Diceros bicornis minor: one gene and its partners. The protein of the gene in region 1 interacts with the protein of each later gene in a biochemical or structural test. Links are inferred from orthologs where the notes say so. Each region holds a gene or a part of one and is shown in the gene's direction. Other genes may lie near its edges.

What was found.
Region 2: the proteins of GABARAP (region 1) and RETREG1 are reported together in a solved structure, tested with the Homo sapiens proteins (2 studies listed by BioGRID, with this or other methods). The link is inferred for Diceros bicornis minor from reciprocal best matches to the Homo sapiens genes GABARAP and RETREG1.
Region 3: the proteins of GABARAP (region 1) and NEK9 form a complex in vitro, tested with the Homo sapiens proteins (2 studies listed by BioGRID and IntAct, with this or other methods). The link is inferred for Diceros bicornis minor from reciprocal best matches to the Homo sapiens genes GABARAP and NEK9.
Region 4: the proteins of GABARAP (region 1) and SEC62 interact in a test that uses a peptide from one of them, tested with the Homo sapiens proteins (2 studies listed by BioGRID and IntAct, with this or other methods). The link is inferred for Diceros bicornis minor from reciprocal best matches to the Homo sapiens genes GABARAP and SEC62.

What each region holds. Positions count from the first base shown.
Region 1 is NC_080757.1:11,040,400-11,048,187, forward strand, and holds GABARAP (gamma-aminobutyric acid receptor-associated protein), read left to right. Parts: upstream 1-5,105; 5' UTR 5,106-5,177; coding exon 5,178-5,267; intron 5,268-5,826; coding exon 5,827-5,905; intron 5,906-6,047; coding exon 6,048-6,166; intron 6,167-6,631; coding exon 6,632-6,697; 3' UTR 6,698-7,130; downstream 7,131-7,788. Other genes in the region: CTDNEP1 (CTD nuclear envelope phosphatase 1), read left to right, coding at 1,024-1,090, 1,191-1,309, 1,525-1,596, 2,012-2,128, 2,357-2,468, 2,910-2,994, 3,304-3,364. UniProt on the Homo sapiens protein: Ubiquitin-like modifier that plays a role in intracellular transport of GABA(A) receptors and its interaction with the cytoskeleton.
Region 2 is NC_080759.1:48,282,110-48,289,684, forward strand, and holds the start of RETREG1 (reticulophagy regulator 1), read left to right. Parts: upstream 1-4,431; 5' UTR 4,432-4,459; coding exon 4,460-4,773; intron 4,774-7,575. UniProt on the Homo sapiens protein: Endoplasmic reticulum (ER)-anchored autophagy regulator which mediates ER delivery into lysosomes through sequestration into autophagosomes.
Region 3 is NC_080763.1:23,073,487-23,081,746, reverse strand, and holds the start of NEK9 (serine/threonine-protein kinase Nek9), read left to right. Parts: upstream 1-4,907; 5' UTR 4,908-5,038; coding exon 5,039-5,257; intron 5,258-7,723; coding exon 7,724-7,901; intron 7,902-8,260.
Region 4 is NC_080754.1:51,870,207-51,877,821, reverse strand, and holds the start of SEC62 (translocation protein SEC62), read left to right. Parts: upstream 1-4,403; 5' UTR 4,404-4,450; coding exon 4,451-4,486; intron 4,487-7,615. UniProt on the Homo sapiens protein: Mediates post-translational transport of precursor polypeptides across endoplasmic reticulum (ER). Proposed to act as a targeting receptor for small presecretory proteins containing short and apolar signal peptides.

The sequences.
Region 1 (7,788 bases):
GGGCCTAGGGATGAACTGAAGAGCATTTGTCTATGCTTTAGAAGAAAAGAGCAGAGGAGTGAATTGTCGGGCTTTGCATGGGGGATATCCGAGTATTAGAAATGGGAGCCTCTAGAGAAGGCTTGGAGAAGCTGGAAGGCTGAGGTGGTGACGTCCTTGTCCCTTCCTCACCTCTCACTCACAGTCCTTACTTCACTCTGGCCTTCTTGATACTCTCTCGGTCTGCCTGGCAGATGGGGCTTTCCAGTGTTCTCTGCCTTGCCCTGGGTACCAGGATAAGGAGGCTGTTCAGAGGGATGAGGTTCTCTGCAACTTGTGACTTGGCTAGTAGAGACAGAAATGGACAGGTGGCTGGTTAAAATAGGCCTGGTGGCCCCTAGCCAGAGGAACTTAGCTGACTTGACAACCCCCGGATTCCCTCATCCTCTATTCCCCTTAGGCACCCAAGGACCTCCCCTCCTGACTTCTATTCCCTGTCCACTAAGGAATCTGAGGTTCTCAGTTCCCAAGTGGAGGTGATGGGAGTTGTCACAAAGAATCCCTGGGGTGGAGGTGGGGAGGGCAGTGCATTTCTTTGTTCAGGGTAGCAGCATAATATCATGATTAAGAGGGCAGGTTCTTGGGTGGGACTGCATGGGTACAATCCCAGTTTCACCACTTCATCCATTCTAATGTTGTGACCATCCCTGCTACAGTGTTCTAGGAATACAACCATGATGGAGACAGAATCCATGTTCTCATGGAATTTTCATTCTAATTGAGGAGACAAACAACTAAATAAGATAATTCCTAGCTCTATGGCCTTAGGCAAGGTATTTAACCTCTCCAAGCCTCGGTTTCTTCGCTTTTAAAACAGAAATGATATTATTGTTATTAGGGTTGTTTTGAGGATTAAATGAAATAATCCTAAATCAGTTACGTGGTGCCCAACATACGGTAACTGTTCAACACGCGCTACCTATCATTGTTACTGAGGAAGATTTCCTTGTCAAGAGTTCTAATCCTCTCCCTTGTTATTCTTAGGTAATTCAGTACCAAACTGTTCGATATGATATCCTTCCCTTATCTCCTGTGTCCCGGAATCGGCTAGGTGAGTTTGCTGGCTGGGAAGACTGTTTTAAGGTGAGGTAGTAGGGTTCAGGGTCTGGGCTGGAGGTTGGTTGGTGTTATCCCTTCCCGTTGTGGTTCAGGCCAGGTGAAGAGGAAGATCCTGGTGCTGGATCTGGATGAGACACTTATTCACTCCCATCATGATGGGGTCCTGAGGCCCACAGTCCGGCCTGGAACACCTCCTGACTTCATCCTCAAGGTGTGTGGTGGTGGGAAGTGATGAAATGGTTATGTCCATTATTCTGCTTAGACCTGGACTCCCTTTCCTGGTCCCAGAGAGTCTTGTCCCCGTCTCCATTTCTTGGCACCAGTGTGAGCCTGAAGGGGGGAAGCAGGCAGTGGGAGGGTAGGGGGTGTCCTTTAGGCCTGTGTTGTGCTCAGGACTTCTCCCAGCCTTTCACCGTTCCTCTACAGGTGGTAATAGACAAACATCCTGTCCGGTTTTTTGTACATAAGAGGCCCCATGTGGATTTCTTCTTAGAAGTGGTGAGTTTGCGCAGCTAAAGGGAGCTCTGTGATGAAGGAATGGTTTTAGGGCTCTGGGAATTTAGAGGATCTGGAGGAAGTAAGGGGTGAGGAGAAATGGGTAAGGGCAGTTTTGGAGAGGGGAGGTTGTGGGATGATTAGAAAATGGCTTTTGATAGTTTGGGTTCATTTGTTGTGTTGATGTAATTCTATTTTTCCACAGGCTTCCTGCTCTTTTGTTCTCACCTCTCTGAATCTTAAGGGTGTATGGTGCCTAAGACTCTGAGTTTGGGGGCGTTCAGAATTTTGTGTTCCCAGAGACATTCGATGTTGCTGAAAGGCCTGAAGGACTAGACTGGATTCCTAGTGAAAGGGAACTGTATGTCTAAATGAATGATCACCTCTTCTGACACCTCTTTCCTGCGATCTATTTCAGGTGAGCCAGTGGTATGAGCTGGTGGTGTTCACAGCAAGCATGGAGATTTATGGCTCTGCTGTGGCAGATAAACTGGACAATAGCAGAAGCATTCTCAAGAGGAGATACTACAGACAGGTAAGGGGCTCGAATCCAGGTCTAAGAGTTAGGCTTGGGAGGCAGACCACCAGGGCAGGATTTGAGTTTGAGGCAATTTGCCCTGGAATGGGACCTTCTGGGCATGAGGGGGAGGTGTATGGTATGATCTCTGTTGTGAGAGTTGGCTGCCCATGGGTGTTGTTGGGATTAGGGGAGCAGTCACAGAGCGCGAGTCTCCTTCTGATGCCAGCTCACCCTGCCTTCCAGCACTGCACTTTGGAATTGGGCAGCTACATCAAGGACCTCTCTGTGGTCCACAGTGACCTCTCCAGCATTGTGATCCTGGATAACTCTCCAGGGGCTTACAGGAGCCATCCAGGTATGGGGAAGGTGGTGAGTCTGGCAGGACCAGGAAATGGTTTTGAGGAGGTATTTTGAATGCATAGAGCTGGGATTCCCTGGTTTACTGTAGGTCAGGATGTAAATTGTTTCTCTTTTAAATGAGACATCCCTCCTCTGCCACATGTCCACTTCATACATTAGATTTCCCATATCAAACTTGCTTCAGGTGAGACACAATGGCAATAAATTTTGCTAAAAGTCTCACACTAGTATGAGATATGGTGATTAAAGTTTAATTTTATTTTGGAGAATAAATCAGGAAGGTTTTACTTAGGTTGTTGAGTTTGGGCGGTGGGGGCAGGGTGCGGTTCAGTGAGGTATGTATTTAAAGAATGATCCCTACCCCGAAATAAAAGAAAAAAACAGTGTCTCTCTTGAATTCTTTGTTTCTTCTCATGTGTATCTTCACTCAACCTAGACAATGCCATCCCCATCAAATCCTGGTTCAGTGACCCCAGTGATACCGCCCTTCTCAACCTGCTTCCGATGCTGGATGCCCTCAGGTAAGGGAAGCTAGACATTTAGATTTCCGAGGCAAGGAGGAGGTGGGGGATCCCAAGAGGGAATAAAAGTTTGTCCTGTTTTACTTAACTTATCTCTCTTCCCTTAAGAACTTAGCATTTGAACCCAGGTCTTCTTACACTAAAGCTTATCACTTTTAGCCATTGAATTTTGGGCAAACTGAATCTCAGTCTCATCCAGTGAAAATGGTGATCATTTCTGCCCCACGTCTCCAATGAGGCTGCCTTACAGTAGTGTTGTGAGGATATCAACTATAAGGACTCTACCAATGCAAGTTATTGTCATCCCAGGTTCACCGCTGATGTTCGTTCTGTGCTGAGCCGAAACCTTCACCAACATAGGCTCTGGTGACAGCTGCTCCCCCTCCACCTGAGTGGGGTGGGGGGGAAGGGAGGGTGAGCCCTCAGGATGCCGTCTGATGCCCTGTCAAATGGTGAGGACTGCATGGGCAGGGTCTGCCCCTCCCACCCCTCTCTGCCCTGGGAGCCCCGCACTCCATATGGAGTTTGGATGGACACATGGGCCAGACTCTGAAGCAGCCTCACTCTAACTTCGTGTTCGCACTCCCTGGAAACCCTAGACTGGGACATAAGCCGAGACCTAGGAGAGCCGAAACAGTGTCTGTGGTGGAGAGACAGGACTGGCCAGAGTGAGAGACATTCGGTAATCTAGGAGGCTCAAAGAGAAGCCAAGCCAGCTTTGTTGTGATTTGATTTTTTAAAAACTCTTGTACAAAAATGACTAATTCTTCACTCCAAGGGCTGGGCTGTGGGTGGGAAACTGGGATTTTGGGCCACTGGATTTTCCCCAAACTTGTCCCCCCCTTACTTTTCACTCTATTTTCCCTTCTTCCTAGATTCCCTCAGATCTGTAACCACCTTTCTCTTTTTTTTCTTTCCTCTCTTTTAAACCATGCATTATAACTTTGAAACCAAAGCTGCCCTAGAGCCTTCTCTGGGGTTTGGGGAAATGAGGGGAGGGGTCATGGTTTACACCCTCCCTGTCCCCTAGGCAGAGGGGAAAGAGACTGCTGTTGGGCCCAAGAAGGGTAGGAGGAAAGGTGGTGCTGGCTTTTCGGGGATGAAAGAGTTAACATCAATATCTATGCTTTGGCGGGAAGGGTCTTAGTGACAGGATGGGCGGCCTGGCAGGGAGTGAAAGGACAGCTGCGTGTCCTGAAGGAACTTGAGCTTTAGCGCAGTATAACATAGAAGTATGAAAGGAGGAGAAACCTGGACGCCAGAACAGGCATATAGCTGGAGAGAGGCCGGGCTTCGCTTGGGGGACTGACGTGGACAAGCTAAGCACGGGCTGCCCCCAGGCGGCAGCTGCCCCGGGTCCTCGGCTCTCTCCGCTCCACCCCGGCGCTTCCACCCCTCAGCGCCCTCCTTCCGAAGCCGGCTCTACTTCCTCGCACCCGCCACGTGACGCTCCGCCCTTCTCCAAGATCACATGATTTTTCTGTTACAAATACTTAAAGTGTTCTTCCGCGCTGACGTAGTCCCTACCTTTCGGACCTCCTCTCCAGTCCCTATTGGTCCACTCATTCCTGGAACCTAAGCGTTCTGTGCGTCTCTCCAAATATATATTTCCTTTTTGTCGTCCGTAATTGCCGGAGACCACCTCCTCTGCTTGGGTACTACTTTGTTTTGGTGTCAACGGCCGCCTTTAGCGTACCAGCACGTTTTGTGAATAGCTATCCTTGTAATTATCTCTGCTCTTTTTTTCCTCTGCGTTACTTCCGAAAAGAACGTTTGGAGAATCAGGTCTCAAATTATTACCATCTCCTAGCCCTTTTCATTCCCGGCTTCGTGGGGGGAAGGTTGGGAAATGGGTTTTCAGTTACTTTCAACGACAGCTACGTAGCCTGCGTAGCTGACAAGTTGATTCCAAAGCGATTACGCTGACGGCGTGAGGGGGGGGCGGTCAGTAGGTGGTGCTACGCTAGCGGCGTTAGGGCTACTGAGCTAGTGGCGTAACATAGCAGGCGGGGCGACCCTTGATGGGCGGGGGCGGGGTTGGTGAATAGGGAAGTGGCGCAAGTCTCGGGATCGCTCCGCTGAATCCGCCCGCGCGTCGCCGCCGCCGCCGCCGCCGCCCCCCGTCCCGGCCCCCCCCCCCGGGTTCCCTCAGGCCAGCCCGGTCCAGCCCGGTTCCCGGGAGGATGAAGTTCGTGTATAAAGAGGAGCATCCGTTCGAGAAGCGCCGCTCTGAGGGCGAGAAGATCCGAAAGAAATACCCGGACCGGGTCCCGGTGAGGACAGTAGCCAGGGCCGAGGGCGCGGGCGCTGGCGCTGACGCCACAGCCTGGACTTGGGTCCGCGACGGGCAGCGCGGGCATCGGGCTGCCGGCTGTGGCGGGGTTGGGAACGAGGCCGAAACTGCTGTCTCTGGGACCGGAGGTGAAAGGAGTCGGGTAGCGGTAGAGCTAGAGGCGAGGGGATGTAGGTGGAGAGAGAGATCTTAGGATTTGTGTGGGAGGCTGTAGGGAGTTTGACAGCCTGAGCTTCACACGGTCGTTCCCCCCAGCTAGCTAGATTTTTGAGATTGAAGCTCTAGTCAGCCCAGACTAGTCATCCCCATCTGATTAAGATAGTTGTTTACTATGACGCCCTCTTCAGGGATCCTGGATATTTAGGTGAGTTCCAGTCAATGGGGTGAGGATCTGTACTCAGGGCTGCACCGCGTGTTCAGAGACAAAGAAAAATGAGTCGGGGGTAGGTTTGGGTGTTGGGAATATTGTTGCTCCAGCTCTTGACAGGTGGAGCTGTGAGGCTGTATACCTGATGTCTCCTAATTTTCATCTTTGTCAGGTGATAGTAGAAAAGGCTCCCAAAGCTCGGATAGGGGACTTGGACAAAAAGAAATACCTGGTGCCTTCTGATCTCACAGGTGGGAACCTGACCCAATACTCAGGTTTGCTTCCTGTGGGGGGGGTTGCAGTCTCTGTGGGAGGAAGCTCCACATATAGCAGCTGTTCTTTTGAGGGCATTTGTGACCTCTATGACTTTATCACACTTTGTATCTTTGGCAGTTGGTCAGTTCTACTTCTTGATCCGGAAGCGAATTCATCTCCGAGCTGAGGATGCCTTGTTTTTCTTTGTTAACAATGTCATTCCACCCACCAGTGCCACAATGGGTCAGCTATACCAGGTATGGTGACCGGGAAGTAGTGGAGGCTTTTGAGAGGAGTTAGAAGAGTTTGAGGGGAAGAACGTTTTAGGTCAACAATTCTTGGATTAGCTGGTTTGTTTAGCTCTCAATTTTATCTTTGGCCTTAAAATTTCCGGATTGCTCTGGATTGGGGGTTTGGACGGGCCAGTGGGAGTAGAGAGAAGGGTGAGAATAGTGAGCTGGAGCAACTATTCTGATCCAGACTCTCCCCAGTCCCCTTCCCATTCCAAGGCAGCGGAGAACAGTCTGAGATCTTTTTGCCCAGGACTGCTGTTAGGGATACTACTGCTTGCCACTAGGGCCTGGAGCGAGGGAAGGAGTCAAGGCACTGGTTTTTGGGGTGTTTAGAAAGAATGGTTTTTGAAGAATGTGTCTGGGCAGTGGGTGGTTCAAGTAACTAAAGCCCAGATGCCTGAGCACCATAATTTTCTGCTTTTACCCCAGGAACACCATGAAGAAGACTTCTTTCTATACATTGCTTACAGTGATGAAAGTGTCTACGGTCTGTGAAGCTGCTGCCCCTGAGGTGGGGGGTCCCATTCTACAGAGAGAGAGGTGGCCCCCCTTCCTTGACCTACTCTTCCTCCTTCAGGCTCAAACACCACCTCCATTATTCAGGACCTGCCCTTCCTAATGTTTGAGGCTCTCCTCCAGCCCGTCTTAGCAGGAGGGTTAATGGGGGAGATGGCCGCTACTACTTCTCCCTTCTCCTTTCTTCCCCCTTCTCTACCACCTTTGCCACTCTGCTTTAGACTTCTTGATTGTCAATCTCTGTCACATCCAGTGATTGTTTTGGTTTCTCTTCCCTTTCTAACTGCCCAAGGGGCTCAGAACCCCAACAATCCTTTCCTTTCACTACCTTCTTTTTTGTGGTGGATGGAAGGGACTGAATTGTGGGGGAAGGTAGGAGGCACATCAATAAAGAGGAAACCACCAAGCTGAACTGGATTTTGCTTTGTGTTGCTCCCCTCCCCCTTTTGTTTTTTACTCCTCACTGGTGGGGAAAGAGGTTGGAGGGATAGTAATAGATTTTGGTTTATTCTGTTGATGTTAGGCTTTTCCTTGTGTATAAATAGGGTGCTTTTGTTGTGATGGATGGAATACTCGGAGTATTGTTTCGTGAAACTTCAGTTTTACATACGTGTGTAGGGGGTCCTGATAAAAAGTTTTTTACTGTGGGTTCCTGTGGAGAAAGTTTGAAAGTACCTGCTTTAGAGAAACACATCCAAGTTTGTTATAACCTTTGGGATTAAGGAAGGGATTTTCGTGTGTGGGAGTTGGTAAAAGGACTCTGTCCTCAGTTGCATGTCACTTGGCCAGACTTTGTGCCGGCGTGTGGGATCCAGTGGAGTGGAATCCGAGAGAGAGAAGACTGGGAGGAGGAAGCCATTATCACCAGGAGAACTTCATCTCCCAGCAACCACTTCTCCGTCTAGCCGGAAGTGGAGCGGTCCCCCGGGGAAGAAAGAAGCCGCAGAATGAGGCAGTATGGTGGCCGAGAGTTTTAATCCCTTCTTCCCCTTCTTCTCTAGTCCCGCCCAGCCTACATTTCCCAGGAGCCTGCGCGTGTTCTTCCGCTCTACTCTGCTCCCAATCTCCCC
Region 2 (7,575 bases), on another chromosome or scaffold:
GCCACCATCTTGGTGTGACGTTGTTCATTTCTGGTAAGCACCTCCCTTACAGAATGCTTGTCAAACGTAGACTATTCTAGTTTGGATATTTCAGTTCTTATAAGCACAACAGATAGTCAACCCAAAACAGAAATAGCCAGTTTCTTCTGTGAGCTGGGCCTTGGAATCCAGGCACAATCTTCCTTCCCATTTCCTCCATGTTGCTGTTGTGTGATACTCCTATTTCTCTCTGCATAGAGTGAACTATCTAGGTTCTCTTGGCTCAGTGACAAGAAAATTAGGGAAAGTCAGGAGCAAGAAGTAGAGGATATGGTTAAGAACAGGAGGGTAGAATTGCTTTAATAAAATTATCAGCACAAATATAATCTATTGCAGGACTAATAAAAACACCATGTCTGCATCGCTCTTTTGATTTAAGGAGTCATGGACCTACAGTAGGATTCTAACATGAAACATTTTAGGGAAAAAAAAGTAATACTGGGGCATCTCTCTCTCATTATAAGGCTTCGCTTGATGTTGCCTGTGTGGCCTCCTGGAGTGGGAATTAATTATTCATTATTTCTCTCTCCTATTACAAGCTTTCTAGCTACTTTTGGAAGAGAAAGGTGAGTGGCCTCTTTTAAGAGTTCCTATGTGCATTCTGGCTTTCTTTGCCAGAGCTGTGTTATTTTCTAAACTGTCTCTTAGATTCAGTGGCTACAACTGTTTTCTCTCTTTCTCTTTTTCTTCTGACACACTCCCAGTTTCCTTGTTTCCCCTGGATATACATTGTCAAATCATCTAGCTCATTAGTGTTAATCACTCTGTTTCCAATATACAGAGATGCAAAATTCAGAAGAGAATCTTCAACAGTAAGGTTATCCACATTTAGAAATATGACATCTTCTTGAAATTAGGGGACAAGGTTTATTTTAACCATCATTAGCATTATTTTTATGTAGTCTTAGCACTGAATAAATCACTTAAGGCATCACAAAGATAATTAGACAAAGAAAGAACACCCAGTAACACCCATTTATGTGTCTATACCAGCATCTACTCCTGTAACATTATTTGTCAGTAATTATTAGAGGTCATAGGTGGAAAAGACAGTTTAGAACAATCAGTCCAGCTTTTTATGCAAACCAGTTTTGTGTAGCATTTTTTCCATAGTACAGGAGTCCCCTCTTATCTGTGTTGGATACATTCCATGACCCCCAGTGGATGCCTGAAACTGCAGATAGTACTGAACCCTATATATATATATATATATATATATATTCATATATATACATACATATATATATATATCTTCTATACATACATTCCTTTTTTTTTTTAATTATTTATTTATTTTCCCCCCAAAGCCCCAGTAGACAGTTGTATGTCATAGTTGCACATCCTTCTAGTTGCTGTATGTAGGACGCGGCCTCAGCATGGCCGGAGAAGCGGTGCGTCAGTGCGCGCCCGGGATCCAAACCCCGGCCACCAGCAGCGGAGCATGCGCACCCAACCGCCGAGCCACAGGGCCGGCCCAATACATACATTCTTATGATAAAGTTTAATTTATAAATTAGGCACAGTAAGAGATTAACAACAATAACTAATAATAAAGTAGAATAATTATAACAATATACTGTAATAAAAGTTATGCGAATATGGTCTCTCTCTCTCAATATTTTATTGTACTGTATTCACCCTTCTTCTTTCGATGCTGTGAGATGATACAACGCCTACGTGGTGAGATAAAGTGCAGTGAATGATGTAGGCATTGTGACCTAGTGTTAGACTACTATTGACCTTCTGACCGTATGTCAGAAGGGGGATCATTGACCCATGATGATGCCAATGGTTGGATGTCAGGAGCAGATGATGTAGATGGTTGGGGATCCAACAAAGGGATGATTCACATCCTGCATGGAACGGAGCTGAATGGCATGAGATTTCATCACGCTACTCAGAAGAGCATGCAGTTTAACACTTATGAACTGTTCCTTTCAAGAATTTTCCCTTTAATATTTTTAGACTGCAGGTAACTGAAACCGCACAAAGCGAAACCACAGGTAAGGGGGATTACTGTAATTTTAACAAAGAGAAAGAAAAAATTTCACATAGCTGTGGGTAGGGAGCTTTATCATTAAATAAAGATGTGTTGCAAACCACATATAGCAACTCGAGTTTACCTTTTATGTGTCTTGGTTGTCAACATCTTTCAGATCCTGACAACAATAATTAGAATGCCGGGAGAGAAGGAGAACGTGAAGAATCTTGCAAACATGTTTCTGGAAGCACATCCACACTGGTTTAGACAATGGGGATGTCTGGTTCCTCGTCTCTTCTGCCCTGCCTTCTCTCCTCCAGCCACAGAGTCCAGTGACGAATCTTAGAATATCGCAACCCCTGGGCTGTATCCAGTGCCACACAAAGGCCAGATTACACAATATAGCATCATTTATCTTTCAAAAGCTCCTCCTCTAGTGCTAAGAGGTGGAACCAACACCTGGGAAAAGATAGTCTCTCTTTTGTGGAAAAAAAATACCTGAGTTGTTGCCACCTGACTTTTTCATTGCCTCCATGGCCGCTTTCTATCAGGCTGTCAGAATGACTCTCCTCAAAGGCAAATCAGAAATGCCCGAGAGCCTGCATTGCCTTCAGGTTAAAAACCAAACTTTCTGCCACTAGTGGATCCACCAAGGCCTTGGTGATCTGCTGCAAATACACATAAGGAACTGCGCCTCCACCTGAAACTCCACAACTTCTCCCATGTTCATCTCCCAAAAGAAATTATTGCCACCTCCCCCCAATCCCCACTTTACTTCCCTCCTCCTTACAACTCAGGACACATGCCATCTATTCCAAAAGCCTCCTCCACTCCTTCCCTAATGTTGGATGTACGATTTGAGGAGGGACTCTCAGCCCTGAGTGATTATCTCCAGCACAGCAGTTATAACAATGGCAGTTGGACCCTGCTTGGACTGTGAGCTTCCTGTGGGTGGAAGCCACAACCAGAGAGGTTAGCAAGGCATTGGACACACAGGTGCTCAGCAAACCTTTGGGAAAACTCTAGGAAAATACCCCTTTGAGGGAAGACATACAGTAAAGTGCACACACCTGCAACGTACAGATCAATGAATTTTTACATATGTATACACAGAGGTATACACATGTATAATGACCACCCAGACGAGCATTATAGAACATTCCCCAGAGGCTCCCTTAAAACAAGGGGCTTTAACCGCTCTGGGAATGAGCCCCATTCATCTTGTGAAAGCAGGCTGGCTGCCAGTAGTAAACCCCAAGAGGATACAAGATGCCCTGATGCATCACAGGTAGCACCCTCAGGATGGGGGAAGGGGCATTTTGTTCTAGAGAGAAGTAAGAACGGGGGGGGGGGGGGAGGCGGGGGGGGGAAGGGGAGGGGGGAGGCGGGGCAGGGCGGATTAAAGAATAGAACATTTTAAAAATGCAAATAGTGAAAGCGAGCATGAACAGTTTCCCTTCTTCCCTCCCCCCACACGCACCCAGAAGCCCCAGGGCCAGCAAGGCCGGGTATGGGAGGTCTCAGGATTCCCTGTGTCCCCCTCAAGGCCGCCTTAGCCCTGTCCCAGTGTTGCTGTGACATCGAGACCACAGTGGCTCTGAGGTAACTGCAGTCAAGGCTTGCCAAACCTTGTCTGACACGTGCAAAGCGTCCGGTCTCTGCAGGGGTTCCCCCTCCTCAGCTCCCCGCTCACCTGCACCTCCCACCGACCGCCGTGCGTTTTGAGCCCGATGACCGCCCACGGGTGGAGAGAGGACACGCCTTCGCCCCTCGCTGCGGCCTGGCGTGTCCTCACTTGTAAAAGGAGAGGGCCAGACGCTCCTGAATTGACCCCAAATGTTTTTTAATTCCTTTCTCAGTCCAACATTTACATCATCACGTTATTCCCAGAGTCCTAAAGATCTCTGCTATGGTCGTGCAGCCTGGCCCTGCCAGGGCAGTGGACCGGGGGGCTGGGGGCTGAAATCTGCTGCTGAAATCCACGCCCTCCAAGGTGCAGGATGGGCGAGGGGTGGCCCTGGCTTGAGAAAGCGAAGATGTCCAGTTGATTTTGCCCGTGGCTCTGACTCTCTTTAAATAAGTAACCGGGCGGCGGTCCTCTACTTCGCCCTCCCCATCCCCCGCAGCTGGAAGGGAAGAGGAAAAGGGTCGCACTCCCTGGGTCCCGGGCGAGGCCATCGAGGGGGCCCGCGCTCCCCCGGGACACCGCCCAGCGCGCGCCCACGGCGGGGAGGCCGCCCCGCCCCGCCCCCGCGCGAACTTGGCCGCACCCACTTCCCCCGGGAGGCGCCCCCGCCGCGGCCGGGGCTGACGTCACAAGGCACCCAGCCGCTGGCGCCCCGCGGTGCGCGCCCCGCGCCGGGACCCGCCGCCCTCTCGGCGCCGACACCCAGGCGCGCCCGCGCGCGTGCCCGTCCCCGCCTGGAAGCGCCGCTGAAGATGGCGAGCCCGGCGCCCCCGGAGCACGCCGAGGAAGGATGCGCCGCTCCCGCTGCCGAGGAGCAGGCGCCCCCGCTGCCGCCGCCGCCCCAGGCTCCCCCGGAGGAGCCGGAGGAGGAAGCGCCGGAGGAAGCGGCGGTGGCGGCCGGCGCGGGGCGGCAGGTGGAGGAGGCCGCCGGCGGGGTGGCCGCCGCCGTGACCTGGCTGCTGGGGGAGCCGGTGCTGTGGCTGGGCTGCCGCGCCGACGAGCTCCTGAGCTGGAAGAGGCCGCTGCGCAGCCTGCTCGGCTTCGTCGGGGCCAACCTGCTGTTCTGGTGAGAGCTCGGGGTGGATGGGGACGTCCGGAGCGGCAGGTGACCTTGGGACGCTCGAGGGCAGGCGGAGGGCGCGCCCCGGGCCCGGGGTGGGGGGTGCACGCTGGACACTGCGGAGGAAGAAGTGTCAGCCCTCTCCCACTTTCTCGAACAGGTAGACACACTTCAACTTTCCTCCAGACGCACTGCCCTGTAAACAGTTGCCATCCTGCGGCTGTGTATCCAGCCTCGCATGCGAGGCGGTCGCTGACCCGCCGGCACCTGTACCTACAGGTGTGCCAGGCGTGCTCGGAAACTTCTGCCCTTGCTTTCTAAAACTCTCAGGGCTTGACCTGCTCGCCCGAAGTAGGCGAGCAAACGTGCTTGAACTTGTATTGGTTCTTGCACCCCCAGCAGGCCTAGCTGGACCGGCTTAGGTAGACGCTCAAGACGGCGCCGCCTTCATCAGCCACCTGAGCTGGGCGCTGAATGATTTGTTTTTCCGTTCCCTGAAGGGTCGGGTTTACTGTCTGCTCCCTGATGAGAAGACAAGAGGCAAATAGGTGGATTATGTACATCACCCCGCCCCCTAGGTGTGCACAGTGTGGAAAACAGTCATACTTTTAGGTGAAGTACAGAGAATACACAGGAATGGTCTCTGAAAAGTGCCTGATCAACAGGTTTCTCTCTCCAAAAAGCGCCCTTCACCGGTAAGGGCAGGGGAAGTGTCTGGCTCCTTCATTGAAGGACGAGCCCTGTCATCTGTTACCAGTCTGATGGAGGGTGGAGAAAAGCCTTTGTTTGCAACTGTGTCCTCATAACAAGCCTGACCCACACAGTGCAGAAGGAGCAGAGCTTCGGCAAGAGATACCTCCTTACAGGACATAGATTTCTTACCCTTCAAGTTAGGAAATAAATAAATGCACAAAACATACACAGCCTGCCATTTTCTAGGTTAACTCGAGCAACTTTAAGATTTTTCTGCACATCTGTGCTGGTCCTGGTTTTCTCATAAAACAAACTGTGTCTTATCAGGGTCCCTGAATGTGAATTAACTTTACTTTGGGTCTCTTAGCTATGTATGTTTCTAGAGTTTATTCCAAATTTGTCTGTCCTGTTATGAAGTTGTGATCACTCAAATAAGGAGGGTATATTGTATTATGCTAGATTGGGCAACAGTCCAATAGTCTTAGGGTTGTGTTTCACTCATTTTACCAATGAGGGATATGTTTTTAAACTTCTGTTTCTTAGTTTTAAATTTTATTTATTTAAAAAAATAGCTAAGGGCCGGCCTGGTGGTGTAGTGGTTAAGTTCGCGCTCTCTGCTTTGGCGGCCCGGGGTTCGCAGGTTCAGATCGCGGGTGCAGACCTACACGGGCAGTGTCCCACATACAAAATAGAGGAAGAGAGGCACAGATGTTAGCTCAGAGCTAATCTTCCTCAGCAAAAAGAGGAGGATTGGCATTGGATGTTAGTTCAGAGCCAGTCTTTCTCACACACACACAAAAAACAAAACTAATATAGCCTCATAGTTCAAAAGTTTAAAGGTACAAAAGGCTAAACATTTTGAAAATCTCTTTCCCACGCCTGTCTCTGGCTACCCAGTTTCCTCCCAGAGGCAACCATTGTTACCAGTATCTTTCTTATGTATCTTTCCAGAGAGTGCATATTTCAGCACATACACAATATTCTATGCAAATTGTGGAATACTATCTGGGTTATTCCTCTTCTTAATGTATCTTGGCGATCACTTCCTGGTTCTTTTCCAGCTGCGTAGAATTCCATTGTAAGGATGTCACAAGTTATTTACCTTGTCTCTTACTGATGGACTAAGGTTGTTTCCAAACTTCTGCTATTTCAGTGTTATAGCTAAAGGCCTTGTACCTGCATTATTTTGCGTATATGAAACTATTTCCAGAAGTGAAGTTGTTGGGTCAAAGGGGATGTGCGCTTGTAATTTTGATGGCTGTCACTACGTTATTGCACTTCTTTGGAGTTCTACCAGTTTATACTCCTGCCAGCAATGTGTGTGACTCCCTGTTTCTCTACGCCCTTGCCAACAGTATTTTATCAGGCTTTTTGATCTTGCAAATCTGATATGTGAAAAAAGATATCCCAGTGTGGTTTTAATTTGTATTTCTCTGAGATTGAGCATTCTTTTCTTATATTCAAGAGCCACTGTATCATTTCTTTGCATTATCTGTTTATAAATAACCTTAGTTCATTTTTTTAGTTGAGCCTTTGGTCTTTTTCTTATTGATTTGTAGGAGCTCTTTATATATAAAGAAGTTCAGCGTAATTTCTGTAGTATGAGTTGCAAACATTTCTCTCTTTGATGTATTCTTAATAACATCTATTGAAAATAATGTTTTTTTGCATAAAATAATTGAAAGGCATATTTTGTATTATTCAGGAATGACGTCTTCCATCTAATTTTTTAATGAGTCTGATGGAGAGGTGAACAATGCCCAGGCATTCAATCCAATTATAGCTTTCTTCTTATCTGTTCTATTTCTTCTCCTGCTTGCAGTATCTGCATTCCACACATGTATTTTCTTTGACAGAAAGATAACAGTCCTGCTTTTTAAATTCTGAAATACTTATTAATTGGAATTTCTGATCCATTAATTTTATTAAAATTTTGAAGTGTTTTTCCCCTTTCTTGTTTCTGAGGTTAAAATGCTTTTCAAGGACATTAAGTTTTCTTTAAATAGTGTATTTCTTATCAAGTGATCTTAAATTATGTGACACTCTAACATTCTGTGTCCCAGGAACTCTAAAGCACTGCATTTTCTATGAGAAAAACAAAAAGATCTATGTTAG
Region 3 (8,260 bases), on another chromosome or scaffold:
CTCTTTTTGTTGAGGAAGACTGGCCCTGAGCTAACATGTGTGCCCATCTTCCTCCACTTTATATGGGACGCCACCACAGCATGGCCTGACAAGCAGTGCATCGGTGCGCGCCTAGGATCTGAACCCCAGGCCGCCAGCAGCAGAACACACGCACTTAACCGCTACACCACGAGGCCCACCCTTCCTCGGCTTTAAAGTATGGCAGATTATGCATGATGAATTAGAGGAAAAATATCGTCTGTTATTTACTCTAGATGGATCAAGTTTCTGTGAGCTAGTAAAAGTTTATTATATTTTGTATATAAAATATGTGAATTATATATGATATGTATATAAAAATAATAAGAATTATACATCTTCAGAAAGACCAAATAGGGTTCTGTAAGCCAGGCGTTCTCTGTAAGCTTCTCTCTTTTGGAAACTGCTATTGGCATTATTCCTGCAGAGGGTCTTCTCCCTTGCCCTCCATTCTTAAAATACCCCTCCCAATTTAGAACCTCTCAAGATTTGCTTTTTTGGCCCATCACATCTATGCAAAACCCTATCCCAGCGGGTAAAGGCCATTTTCTCCTTTCCTTTTAGTTGCAGTTGAACGTTTTTCATAAAGCCCCTTTCCAACAGTCAGCCTGAAGTGTTTTGCACATTCACTGGTAGCCTCTTATTTACCCTCTCCTCCATTTCCCAAAAAAACCAGATAATAAATTTGTCAATGAATCTATAGTCTATAAAGTAGTGGTTCCCAACATTTGAGTATAAATATTTTAACATCAAAAATGTCTTATATCTGGGCCGGCCCCGTGGCTTAGCGGTTAAGTGCGCGCGCTCTGCTGCTGGCAGCCCGGGTTCGGATCCCGGGTGCACACCGACGCACCGCTTCTCCGGCCATGCTGAGGTCGCGTCCCACATACAGCAACTAGAAGGATGTGCAGCTATGACATACAACTATCTACTGGGGCTTTGGGGGGTGAAATAAATAAATAAATAATTTTTTTAAAAAATGTCATTTCTCACTAATGTTTTAGAGAACATAAATAATGAATTCAACAAAACATAAATTTAATAGTCTTTAACAGTATCATATTCTTACTAAATGGTAGTACATGTTTGGCAAATTATTATTTATTCAGTGCTGCAGTGGTGTCCCACATAACATGAGCCCCATGTGTAATTTTAAATTTTCTAGCACCACATTAAAAAAAGTAAAAAACAGGTGAAATTAATTTTAGTAATGTATTTAGTCTAATACATCTAAAATAGTATTTCAACATGTAGTCAATATGAAAATGATTAATGAGATATTTTACATTCTTTTTTTCATATAAAGTCTTTGAAATCCAGTGTGCATTTTACAGCTACAGCACATCTCCATTCAAATGAGCCACAATTTAAGTGTTCAGTAGCCATATGTAGCTATGGCTACCAGATTGGACAGCTGCTTGGTACTTTGGTAAATTCTTTAATCTTTATAGTAACTCTGTGGCCCCCGGGAATCTGCCACTCACAAGTGGAAACTTCTGCTATATAGCATCCTAACTATTCACTTGTTAAAATATAACATGGAAATAATCTATTTTTGATCAAAGGCACTTTAAAATCAGACGTTTAGAATGTTGAGTGTTTCTGGGTTTGTAAATATTCGAAGGTCAGATGTTTAGTTTCATTTATATCCAGTATAATAAAGAACTGAGCAAGAGTGTTTCTGTTCTATATTCTCTAAGATGGAACAGGACATCTGTCTGTTAAGCTTATATCTACGCATTATAACTAGAACAATTAACAATATCAGGCTAACCAAGTTACAGAAAGCTATTTAGTTCCTCATTGCAAAGGTGCCAAAAGAATGCATTTTTAAGCTTTGGCTGAAACCTATACAGCTTTACTAAATGCAAGTCAGAGCTTCTGATTTTAAGTAATTACTTTTTCCATTCTTTTAACTCAACAAAACATTTATTGAACATGTATTTTGTTTAATGTGCTGAGCTAAACTCTGGAGTGCACCCAGATAAATAAGAAGGAATACCTCTTCTCAAAATGCCTTCTGATTAATAGGAGGAGGTAGATGGAATGGCCTCTATCTGGAATGATCTCCCTGCTTTATTTAGCCATCACCAACTTAACATTTTGGATATTCCTCCAGGGAGCCTTCACTAGCCCAGCAAGTTTGACTTGGAAAGATGCCTCTTCTAAATGCCTTTCTAGAATCTTTACTTTCCTTATAATAGCAGTTATACAGTTATAATTGCCTGGTTAGTTGTCTATTAACATGGACTGTAAGCTCCATGAGAGTAGGAACCATGTTTTGTTCTCTGTTGTAACCCAGTACCTGGCACAAGTTGGTACTCAGTGTTTGTTGAATGAATGAATTGCAAATTCAAAAATATCTGTATAATGTAGAACCCTGGAATGAAACCAACAAAATAAAGTTTAACAGGGGTTATCAGTCAGTCAGTCTTGCACTGAGGTTTAAAAAATGTTATATATATGAGATAATAACGACCTGATATTCATTCAACAAATTTTTTTTTTAAAGATTTTATTTATTTATTTTTCCCCCCCAAAGCCCCAGTAGATAGTTGTATGTCATAGCTGCACATCCTTCTAGTTGCTGTATGTGGGACATGGCCTCAGCATGGCTGGAGAGGCAGTGCCTCGGTGCGCACCCGGGATCCGAACCCGGGCCGCCAGCAGCGGAGCGTGCGCACTTAACCACTAAGCCACGGGGCCGGCCCCAACAAATAATTTTTAAGCGTATAATATCTAGCACTTTTCCAGGTACTGATGATATGTAGGTGTGAACTAGAGCGTAAAATCCAGGCTCTCCTGGAGCTTTTATTCTGATGAATGAGAGAGTCAATAAAGTAAACATAATAAGACATCAGTATTTTATTAAGCATTGTGATGAAAAGAAGGAGTGATGTGATCTGGTGGGACAGCTGTATTACTTCGGATTAGATTGGATGTGAAAAAAGTTTAGTTAAGTGCGAGCTTGGTATAAGCAGACCATCATTATGAAGGCTGGCACACCAATAGAAATATTGGATCCAGATCAAGGGAGACGAGTCCCCTTGTGCTCTCCTATTCAGACCTGACGTGGAATGTTATGCAGAGTGTAGTATATCATCCTTTAAAAGGAACGTTGGTAAACTGTAGAGAGGTCAGAGGAATGGGAACTTATTCCTTCACACCCCTCACCCCATTCGACCAATTCTTTTCCTCCTATATTTGCTATCACTATCTACGTAGTGAGTCTCCTGGACTCGCACATTTACCTCACCAACCATATTCCAACTGATCACAAAGTTCTAAATATTCCTCAGACAGATTCCTAAATCTGGACCTCCTTTCCACTCACACTGATAGTACCTCAGTGCCTCGTCTTTTCTTAGAATATAAATTGCCTCCTAACTGGTCTCCCAGCCTCCAGTCTTTGTCCTCCACATTGTCATCAGAGTTCTTTGTAAAATTTAACTTTGGTCTTAAGTAAGGTGACCATATCATTTATTGTCTGAGCTGGGCACTTAAGCAAAAGAAAGCTCTCAATTATGCTAAGGGAAAAAGGCGTAAATGGAGACTTCCCCAGCAAATCAGGACATACAGTCACACTAATCATACACTCCCCTGCTTAAAAATCTCTAATAATTTTCCATTGCTCACAGGAAAAGCCAAACTCTATAAAACATTTGTGGCTCCGTCTTCTGCTTCTACCCTACATACACCCTGGCCGCCAGCCACATGACCTTCTCTAAGCCCCAACACATCCTGTTCTGTGAAAAAGATCTGGAGCCAGATTGCTAAGTTTGACTCCTGGCTTCCCTTAGTAGCTGTGTAACATTAAGCAGGTTACGTTAACCTCTCTGTATCTCAGTTCCTTCTATAGAATGGGAATAATATGAGGATTAAGAGGGACGATACATGGAAAGAAAACCTTTTAGTATAGTGCCAGGAACATAACACGGAATAAATGTTAGCTGTTATCCCTGTGATGTAGGTCATATTCCCCTAATTTTACAATTAAAAAGCAAGCTTGGAGATGTGAAGTTGCCCAAGGTGACATAACTGATGGAACACGTTTTTTCACTGCATTGCAATTCTCTTAGTGACTTGAGGCCAGGGAGCATCTTATGGGAGCGATCTTCCCTCCCCTAGCTAGCCCTGGTCCTTTAGTGGTTAAGATTTAGAGCTCTCACCACTGTGGCCAGGGTTCGCTTCCCAGTAAAGGAACCACACCACCAGTCTGTCGGTTCTCATCAGCAGCATGTTGCTGTGATGCTGAAAGCTATGCCACCAATATTTCAAATACCAGCAGGGCCACCCATGGTGGACAGGATTTCAGCAGAGCTTCCAGACTCAGACAGACTAGGAAAGAGTGAAAAAATTGGCCACAAAAACGCTATGAACAGCAGGAGAGCACTGTCTGATGTAGCGCTGGAAGGTCAGAGAATGGTGCAAAAAGACCCGGCAGGGTTCTGCTCTGCTGTACACAGGGTCGCTAAGAGTGGGACTGACTGGAGGTCACTAACAACAAGAAATAATATCTTTATTATACTCTCTCTCTAAAGAAATAGCGCTGTCCAACTGAAAGGGACTGCTTCCCTAATCACTCACTGCTATTGAGATAGACCTGGAGCCAAGATGAGACTGGACACCCTAGGGACCTGGAAACTGTCTGGGGGACCTGGCCAGAAATTGGGGGAAAGGTCTACAGACCCGTGGGTGACGCCTTTGCCTCTGCCTGAGCCCTTCGGTTCCACGCGGTCCCCACCCGCGCCCGCCAACCCCGCCGCAGGGCTCACTTTCCGGGCCCGCCCGGAGGGAGAGAAACCGCGGCCCCGAGACAAAGTAAGCGAGCCAGCGAGGGCAAAGGAAACCCCGGCGGGCCGGAAGCACCCAGAACTGCTTCCGGGTCAGGGGACGGAGCCACTATGGAGCCTCGCGGGGGTGCGGGGCTGACGGAGCCGCGGGTCGGCGTCTGAAGCGACAGGGTCTGAGCACAGCCAGCGCCGCCCGGGACACGCAGGCCGGTCCCGCGGCCGCCACCATGTCGGTGCTGGGCGAGTACGAGCGACACTGCGATTCCATCAACTCGGACTTTGGGAGCGAGTCCGGGGGTGGCGGGGACTCGGGCCCGGGGCCCAGCGCCGGTCCGGGGCCGCGAGCGGGCGGCGGCGCGGCGGAGCAGGAGGAGCTGCACTACATCCCCATCCGCGTCCTGGGCCGCGGCGCCTTCGGGGAGGCCACGCTGTACCGCCGCACCGAGGTAGCGGCCCCCGGCCCCCGCCGCCGAGCCCCTCTTTAGCGCCCCGCTTTCCCGCGTCCGCGCCTCGTCCTCATTTAGTGTTGGGCGCCCGCAGGGTGTGTGTCTCAGGTCTTCACCAACTCACCTGCGCTAGGATTTCGTTAGATCACTGGTTTTACTAACTGGTCGTTTTTGTATAACCTGGGGAACTGAGCAAGTCATTGAACCTTCCCTAAGCCTTAGTTTCCCCATCTGTAAATTGGAGTTAGTGATGACTACCTTAAAAATAATCTATTTTTCCAGGTTATTTTGAGACTCGAACCAAGGTACTTTGCAAACTGTAAATTAAAGTGGTATACGAATGTGAGGTATTGTGAAAACTACCTCTCGTGCTGTATAGCTCTCCAAGGTCGGGGTGGGGAGGAGGGGCATAGCTCCACAATTCCCACATGGATAGCAGCTCCGCTGTCTTGGCCGCTATCTTCAAGTTCCGGTATGAACGCTCAATTGGAGATTGTCCTTGAAGATCATTCGGAAGATCGTCGTGTGTTGATTTATTCATCGGTGTTTATCCAGCAGTGTTTATGCGTGGCAAATATCTTTTTAGTATATTCTAAGCCATTAGTTCTTACCTTTGAGGGGGACAAGGACTCTTTTGAGAACCTAATGTAAGCATAATCCCCTCTACCCACTCTTGCACATAGACATCCTTTGAAGAGATTCATGGATCACTGGCCCCCAAGTTCAGAATGTATACGGTTCTAAAACCCTGTAGTGGTGACTCTGCTTCCAAAAACCAACCATAAACTGGGTTTGGTCACTAAGGTCTTAGAACTCTAGCATTAGAACAGTTAAGCATTTAATGAGAACTTGGTGGGGTTGCTGAAGGTGATTCATCCATCAGTGATCCATCTACAGTTCTGGTATGTGTTCCAAAACAGCATACTTTTAAGGCTGAAAGATGGAGAAGGAGAAGGGTAGTTGCAAGAGAATATCTTTTTTTTATTTTATTTTATTTTATTTTTGTGAGGAAGATTAGCCCTGAGCTAACATCCGTGTCCATCTTCCTCTACTTTATATGGGACGCCGCCACAGCATGGCCTGACAAGCGGTGCATCTGCGCGCCAGGGATCCGAACCGCAGGCCGCCAGCAATGGAGCCTGTGTACTTAACCAGTAGGCCACGGGTCGGCCCTGAGAATATCTAAGTGTTCTTTTGTATCCCAATGCAATGTTAATGTATGTCGATAGAGTTACCATTAGTATTCTGTTTTCTTGTTTGTACTCACAATATGAGAAACAGGCGATGAGTATTGGTATTCTTATTTTATAGTTAAAGAAACTAAGTATGTTAAAGTGACTTGCCCACTTAATTAGAAGTAAATCTTGGACTAGAACCTCTCCTTACCTGTGCCTTTCCATTATTATCATGTTAAACTTGATTACTGAGATTGTTTTAAGTTAAATTTGATTATACTTCCCCAAAACTGCATAGCATTATCCATATCATGAAATGTTCATTAGATCTGTAAATTTACAAAAGTTTAATTAGAAGCAGCTCTTTCCCTCAAGAAACTTCTATTTCAATGGGAAGACAAGTTAGCCCTGTTAGCAAACAAATAGTATTTAAGTTGTATGTATATATAAATGGAAAATAATGGACAAATATTATTTCAGTGTTTGAACTCTGAAAATTAATGGAATGGTTGCCTTGAATAAATGTACAGTAGAAGGTTTATCAGAATCTTCCCAAAAAAGTTTTAAAGGCCTAGCAGAGCCATTCAAAAGGATTTATTTAGGTGGGGATGCCCCTGAGCTGGGGAGCTGTATCAATAAAGAATTAGAGATATTATAAAAGAGAGTGGATATTGGGAACTGCAGGTAAGTTTTCATGAATAGAGGAAAACATGTGATACATAAACATGACAGGAGATACAAAGTTGCAGAATGGGGCAGGGTGAGGGAAGTGAACTCAGAGCCTTTAGACATGACTTACTCTTATCCAGAAATGATAAACGAAAATCATTAGAGAAATCTGAATTTATAAAATGAGTCGTTTAATATCTCTGTTTTACAAGAAAGCATGGTCAGCCATAGATAACCACTCTCCAGTTCTCTATTTCTCTAATATTCTAGCCCTACTACAGTCCTCATCATGATTAGCAGTTTGTCATAATGTCCCTCAATAGAATCTTTGAGATCTCCCTCCATCCTATATTTTTACCTGGAATTGACATCATGCAAGTTAAGTGTAGGAACAATATAACAGCATCTTCATGCTTTACTAGCCCCAGTCCTGCAGTAAATTATGATACTCAACTGTATGCAGAACCTTTAAAGTCTGTTCATGTTTTGTTTAAAGGAAAAAATAAAAGGAGTCACTCTCTGCCCACCTAGGAAGTTTTCTTTCTAGGCTTACAGATCCGGGTGTGGATTCATTCTCTGCCGAGCAAGAGGAAAGCACGATACCTCTATTACTGTGTTGTAGGATGACTCACTGGTTGTGTGGAAGGAAGTTGATTTGACCCGACTGTCAGAGAAGGAACGTCGTGATGCCTTGAATGAGATTGTTATTCTGGCGCTGCTGCAGCATGACAACATCATTGCCTACTACAATCACTTCATGGACAATACCACCCTGCTGATTGAGCTGGAATATTGTAATGGTAAGACAGAATTCAGTGGGACTTCCTCTGGAAAGACGTTCTTGTGCTCATACTTTTCTTGAGGGGGAGAGAAAAAGAAGAGGCATATACAGTGATAAAAACTTTGAATGGATTTCTAAAGTTTAAGAGAAATAGTTCAGGCCCTGAGAGTTTTCAAGTGATATATAAAATAAGGGGAGGGATTTTCCTCTGCATACTCAAATTCTCCCTTGTGATTATAGTTCCATCTTCAACTTATTTGTTCAGTTGAATTTTACATTTATTTTTCAAGGTTTTTTCTCAAGAAATGACATTAGAGACATAGTGTGGCTTGGCACTGCTGGATATATTTAATGCAGTCTTATAGGTGATCTTTATTT
Region 4 (7,615 bases), on another chromosome or scaffold:
GGAAGCAATTTTTATTACTCATTTGCAACAGGAAGACATTTCATGAAGATCTGCTTGTTTTACAGGTTGAAAATAACTAACGTGTGTGCTCTGGAGACCAAGTAGGCGAGGACAAATTATTGTTTTAACTGTAGAATCTTGGTGTCTCACTGTCTTAATAGGTACAAATAAAGCCCAGTTGATATAATATCTAAATCTCAGTAGTACCTCACTCCCACTTGCTCAACTATATGTAGGAGGCCCAGTTTTTAACAGTGTCCCTATTTCTGGAAGTTTTCTAGAATCCTCAGGAATCTCACATGTGCCCATGAGTCACTCATGGCCATTATTTGCCATTCTGGTAAACTCAACTAGGCTTTCACAGCCTCAGGGGCTGATGGTTCCATAGCCGTATCACACAAAACTGAAACTGTTCCTGCGCCAAGGCAAAGATAAGGAAACCCTGAGTACCCGGTATGTGAATGAGAATGATACTGCTAACATTTCTGTTTGAAATGACAAAACAACTACCCTTTCAGTTAAAAAGACAAAGTGATTTTTATACTATGTTAAACATAAAAATATTTAATATTTTTAAGCTAAAAATTTTAGCATGCTAAAAAATTTTCTTTTTCAAAACAAAATATCCATGCTTGTTTTTCAATGATACATACTCAATTGTCTTATTTATGCTATTTCTTGAGTGGAAGTCTAAAGAATCAACTCATTTTAAAATATTAAATCAATTTTCAAATAAAATTAGGAATCCTGTATTTAATTTTACATTAAATACATTTATATTAAATTTATTTATTTTTCTTTGCGATCACAGCTTTAACTACATATTTTTAAATGCTTTTATAAAAACCATTTCCAAAAACAGCCGGGCCATGATTTGCTATACTTCCCTGTAATTTTTTCTTTTTGATTTAGTCACATATATTTGTTTATATAAACAAATATACAAAATGGGGCCAGCCCTGGTGGCGTAGTGGTTAAGTTTGGCATGCTCCACTTCAGCAGCCTAGGCTCGGTTCCTGGGCATGGACCCACACCACTCACCTGTCAGTGGCTGTGGCTCACATACAAAAACAGGAAGACTGGCAACAGATGTTAGCTCAGGGAGAATCTTCTTCAGCAAAAAATAAATAAATAAATAAAATAAAATGGACCCAGAAAAAATGTTATTTAAAACAAAAAAAACTGAATGTACCAGTTTCCAGTTTGCATAAGTCTGATTAATGGGAATACATTTCTGTCTACTATTCCCTTCCACTTACTGGGATGGTAGGCCCCAGGAAACGGAATTTTTCAAGTCCCCACCTATTCATCAGTCCTCCAGAGAGGGGCTCCAGATTGAAGAACCCTTTGTTTAGCAGAGCATGGTAATGAGTTTTTAAATTTATATGCCCTAAGGAATCCAGTAAAAAGTGAAGACTTTAATTTCTCTCCTCCGTATCGCAGGAGAATCTGGGTTTCAGAGGGAGCCCTAGAAAGAAAAAGTGACAGAGCCCAGGGGCAAAGTGAAGTTTTGCTTTGGCAAAAGAAAAGAAGGGGGAAATGCTCCTCATTCGGGAAAGTAACAGTCAAATGTCAGGAGTGAGACTGCAAATTCAAAGCAAAATCAGAGCAAGAAGTGGCTAGGAGAAACTCCCCACAACCACCACCAATGATATAAATGGGGTGCTGGGAAGAGTGTTTGAGCTATTTTTGTATAAATATTAAACGGAAGGAAGACAGAGAAATTTGACACTTGACTTATATGTGTGTGAACATCAGCCATCATTAACGCTGCTGTACACAATTGGGGAGCCATGGGGTGGAAGTAAACAAGGGAGTAGAAGACAGTCTGCAGTGTAGGGAGGGTAGAGCTGGGGACAACTATTAGCAGGCTCTTGCAACAATAGTTCGGGTAGGAATGATAAAGACCTGATCAAAGCAATGGCAGTAGGAATGATGAGGAAGGGAAGAATTCCAAACATCTCAGTTGTAGAATCAATCAGATTGGTGACTGGCAGAGAGGCATGGTTGGGATACCTCCAAGATTTCTAGCATGAGTGACTGAGTGAACAATGATGCAGTTATCAGTTTTAAAATACAGTAAAAGGGGCAGGTTTTGTTGGGGAAATGGTAATTCTAGTTGGACATTCAGTGGAGATATTCAGAGGACAGCTGGAAATAACTTTTATGCTATATTTTGGATTTAAGCTGAAAGCATGAATGAGAATTCTCAGATTGCATAATGCAAAGAGAAGGGAAGAAGCTGAGCATGAAAGCATGGCGGCCAGGAACATTCAAGAGCTGGGCAAAGAGAGAGGAACCAAAGAGAAATCAGAAGGAAGAACTGATATCATAAATGCCAAAGGACAATAAATCAAGAAGTGAATGGTCAATATTGTCATACGCTGAATAAAATGCTAGCTGAAAAGAAGCTATTGGATTTGACCAGAATTATTAATGAACAGTGGAGGTAGAAACCAAATTGTTGTAGTCTAAGGAGTGATTGTCAGTGAGAACATGGATACAGTAAATTAAAGCTCTTCTGAGAAAAAAGGTGGTAGGGCAGGAGCTTGAGAGGGAGTCATTGTCCACAAAAGATTTTTGTTCCCCATCATAGTCCTAGCCTAACATTTTGCATCTAGCAGGCAGTATCTATTAAATGCAATAATATTTTCATTTATTGACCAGATCTCCTATGAAAAGAATCCAGTGTTCTCCAAATAAAACAGTACAAAACAGATCCATCATTTTGGACAGGGAGAGGGACTGAGGAAATAAAGATATTTCATATTCTATATTATGTTTTAGGTTAATTGGTAAGAATTATCACTTTTTTCTCACCCTCCTTCTGACCAGACACCCCCTAATTATAGATTATAGAGGGGAAAGGAGCTAAATGGCTTGCTGATCCTGTCCCTGGAGTGCAGAATTGCATAGCCCCAAAAAGAACTTTCATTATCTTATTTTATAAAAGATTAGGCATCAAGTTGCCACGAGTTGCCTTAATTACATATTTAATTGCTATTAGGTTACATATATAATATTGAAAACTTGAAGAGTCTTTTAATGATATAATAATGCTTACGACATAAGCATTAAGTGAAAAAAAGGCTACCATATAGCATATGCAGTATGATCTCAATTTGGGTAAGGGGAAAATATATAAATACAAATATATATACATATTTATACACACATATACATACAAAGTAGGACTAAGTACTAGACAATAAACTGATAACATCTCTGGGTGGTAGAATTACAAAATTTTATTTTCTTCATCTTTTTTTTTTTTAAAGAGCTATCCAGCTTTAATTTTATTTATTTATTTTTTCCCCCAAAGCCCCAGTTGATAGTTGTATGTCATAGCTGCACATCCTTCTAGTTGCTGTATGTGGGATGCGGCCTTGGCATGGCCAGAGAGGTGGTGCGTCGGTGTGCGCCTGGGATCCCAACCCTGGCCGCCAGCAGCGGAGCGCAAGCACTTAACCTCTAAGCCATGGGGCCGGCCCTATTTTCTTCATCTTATTTTTCTGTATTTTCCACAATTAAAAATGCTTTAAAATCTCTATAAAGTCATGGGACTTCCTATCTAAACACTTACTAGCAATTTAAGCCCATTCTCTTTGTCCTAGGTGGCTCTAAAATAACAATAGTTATAATAGCAATTCCTTGAAGTAGCCTGCAGTCTTCTTCACGCCCAACTTCTTGGAACCTTTCTCCTACTCATCTTACTAGTTGCTTGTACTTCCTTGGGTTCTCTCGGACTCTCGGATTCTAAAGGTGAGTTTGGAGAAGCAATGTGAAAACTGGAATGGAGAAGCCGAAGTTTGTTTTAGATGAGCCGTACTACCCGGTTCATTGTGTGGAAAAAGATAATTGGCCCAGATCTCGGCTCTGCCCTTTACCAACTGTGGGACCTTAGATAAATCAGTTCGTATCTCTGCCCCTCAGTTATCTCGGTTTTCTCATCTTTTAAATGGGGTTAAAAGAATTTACACGTGGGAAGTGGGCGAGGCTCGTTGAGAATATTGGAAGTGCCACAGTTAGGGACGTCTAGAGTTCCGTAGATCTCAGTAAATCCCTCTAGGAAAGACCCCACCGCAAAGGTACTAACCCTGAGGGGGGTGGGGCCGGGAATCTGTATTTTAGTAGCTTCCCAGGTGATTCAGATGCTCAGTCAGGTTTCAGAACGAAGGACTCTTTCCAGCCCTCCTGCTCTCTGATCCACTTCTCAACATCCTTCTGGTCCCAGCGATTTCCAGTTACCGCAACAAACGGAGCCGAGCGAAGAGGGCAGAGAAGGCGCCGCCAAGGCCCCCAGGACCCAGCGGCCCCCAGCCTCTCGGCAGCAGCCCCCGTCCCGGGCGCTAGCCGCCAGGTTACATAACGGGCCCGCGGCGCGCTCTCGCGAGGTTTCCACCGCCCCCTCCTCGCTCCACGTCAGAGGGAAGCGGGCGGAGCGGCCAACATGGCGGAACGCAGGCGACACAAGAAGCGGATCCAGGTAGTAAAGCCGAGCTCTGGGGTAGGGGCTTCAGGGCGCTCAGGAGTGGAAGAAGGGGAGAAAGGCCCCTGGAAGGGCGAACGAAACCGAGGGCGAGGCGGGGTGGGGTTCCGCCGCGAGGCTCCGGCTGCAGGCTGCGTCGTTGTGAGGGGCCTGAGGGGGGGCGGTGTTGGCCGAGGCGGAGATCGAGGCGGAGGTGGTGGGGCAGCGGCGGAAGGCAAGAGGCGCCGCGCTCGGAAGCCGCCGCGGATGCGCGGACGCCGGCCTGGGGTTCCTGTGGCCGCTCCGGCCGGCGCCTCCGCTGGGAGGTCAGCCTCCTCCCCAGCGCAGACTCCGACCTCCCCGGGCTCCTCCCTCCCTTCTCGACCCCATCCTGTCGCCTTAGCGATCCCGAAATTAAGGCTATGGTAATTAGGGTAGAAGGAGGCGGAGGACTGACCTAAAGCAGCCGGTTCTTTGTGCGCAAATAGGACCGTAGGAGGGGGAGTAACCTGGGTCTGGTCAGCTGCCCCGGGGGCCCAGGCAGCGATCTGCCTGTCCAGATGTTCAGCTGCGTGTACTCTCCTGTGTCCTCGGTGTTATTAACTTCATAGTCCACTTGGAGCTTTCTGGCTTTCTTTCAGGCTACAAGTGTAAATAAACACAACCGTGTTGGTACTGCAACGAGCTGGTCGCGCCCAGAAACCTTTCCTGTGCCACTGTGTCATCCTTATAACCTACATAACATCCCTCCCTCATTCCACATGCATGTCATATCTATGCATTTCTGCCCTACAGTTTCCCCTGTTGTTCTTGCTCTTTGCCACGAGGGTTAAATATGTGGAACATCTTAAACTCGGGATGTTGATTAGTCCGTTGTCTCCTCAGCTCATGTGCCTAGAAACCTCCATATGTCACCATAAATTGATAACATGTTGTAAGTTAATATAATAATCACAAATTGTTACACTTCTCATTGTCTTTCTGTTCCTTACTATTTCACTGCCTAGAATGACTTTTTCTATCTAATGTTTTATTTCTCCATTTAAAAAAACATTCATCACTTAAGTTGGCTTACACCACAGGTGATTTGTGCTATGCAAGTTAAAATTCTCCTGAAAACTTTGAACTACTACAAAAGAAGATGCCAGTGATCAGTAAATTTGGAATTTTGGAACTGGGCAGAAATAAGCAGGTAGTTAACTAGCAGAGTACAGAAGGGGATAAGAAAGAGACAAATTCCCCCAAAGTCAGACAGGTCCTAAAACCAGGGCTTAAGGTTATTATGGAAGAAGTTTCTAGTTGTACTTTTCCTAGTCTTTCAAAATGTAGTGTTACAAGTGTGAATGTGTAATACTTTTATTAGAATTTATATTAAAGTTACTGGTCAAATTATACTTAATGTACACTTATTTACATGTGCAGTACATTTTATGCCCCTTAATACACAGTGTTTTTACAATTTCAGCTGCTCTTTAATATTGTCGTAAAGATGATCCTGATTGATTTTTTGAATAGCTGCTCTTGTTTCAGTTGTGATCTTATATTAAAGAGAAAGGTAGATTAAGAAGCTGTATAGTAGTGGTAGTGGCTGGGAGCTAAAATTTGAGCCAGATTGTGCCTGTTTGTACCCTGTTTCACTAATTATTAGCTGTGTAACTTTGGGCAAGTTACTTAACTTTTTACCTCAATTTCCAAATCTGTAAGAAGGGATATTGACCTCAAAAAAAAAAAAAAGAAAGAACGAACCTGATAGAGTTGTAAGGTTGTTTTGAAAAATAGGTGAGTCGATGACCTGTTATTAAAGGTTTTAAAAGAGTTCTTGGCACATAACTCCTTTCTCTTCCCCCCTCCCCAAGGATGAAGGGTTTGGGATGATTTGTTTTGGTTTTTGTTAAGCACTCTGATATGCTGAAGAAAGATTAACAGCTATCTATTCAGTAAATAAACCATTAGACTGTGAGTTCTGTAAGTATAGCCATTTACTTACTATTGCTTATTTGAGGAACAAATAAATATGTGAGGATCCATTGTTAAAAATCAACCTGGCATACTGCTAAATGAAATCAAGTCAATTGTACGTCAATAAAAAAAAAAAAAAGAAAAGAAATAACACTTATTTTTCCCATCCTTGAAGTTTTTTATGTAGTTGTGCTAGAATGTTGTAGAGATCTTGGGAGAGCTGCTTGGAGTACTATTATACAGTCTTAACAAATTAATAAAACTATACAATATCTTATAAAATTCCTTGTGTTCCCCCCCCCCCCGAGAATCAGAAACTATAATATTGGCATCATTTTAAACAAAAAGATCAAATGTAATGACAAAGTTCAGAGTTTAAGTTACAGAAAAGATTCTATTGTAAGACTTTTGGGCAAAAAGGTCTGTAATATCAACTGAGTTTCCTGTTGTTTGTTCCTTGATGTTTCATGTTTAGAAAAGATTTTTATGTTTAATAGATTCAAGTGACCCCGAATTGTAATTTGTACATTGGGGGAAATGGTTGATACAAACAAGTTTAAGGGTTTAAAAAAATAGCTAATTCGTTTGCTTTTTCTAGTGTAGTGTAATTTCAGATTCTGGTATCCCATCCAAGTTGGAGACAAGAGGACTATTGCGTCACATTTCCTTCTTGGACTCACCTTACGGGTCACTGAAAACCAGAAGTGAGCTACGTGTTCATTGACATTATTTTGGGAAATTTTAATGATTGAGATTCTCAAATGAGAATGATCTCAATCCAAATTAATGAAACATTTGAAAATAAATAACTTTAAGAAATGCAATTATCTAAAATTTTAAGAACATACAGTAAGTGCTTATAGGTTAACAAAGTGCTACTTACTAGGAAGGTTGCTTTAGAATCCTGGAATCATGAAATTTTAGAATTGAAAAGAATTTTCAAATAGTAGGGTTTGTTTGGAATCTTTTTGCACAAATGCTGTTCTTATGTAAAGACAGGGTGGTGGGCCCAAAGCGCTATCCCCTCAGTACCCCACTATCATCATGCCCACACCCCGTGGTCCTTTAAGCTACTTTTAGGACCTAGATCTAAAAGTATTACTAGATATAAAACTTACTGATCTAAGCCATCACCCTCATTTCACAGGTAAACTGAGGTTCAGTGAGGTTATGTGACTTGACCCAGGG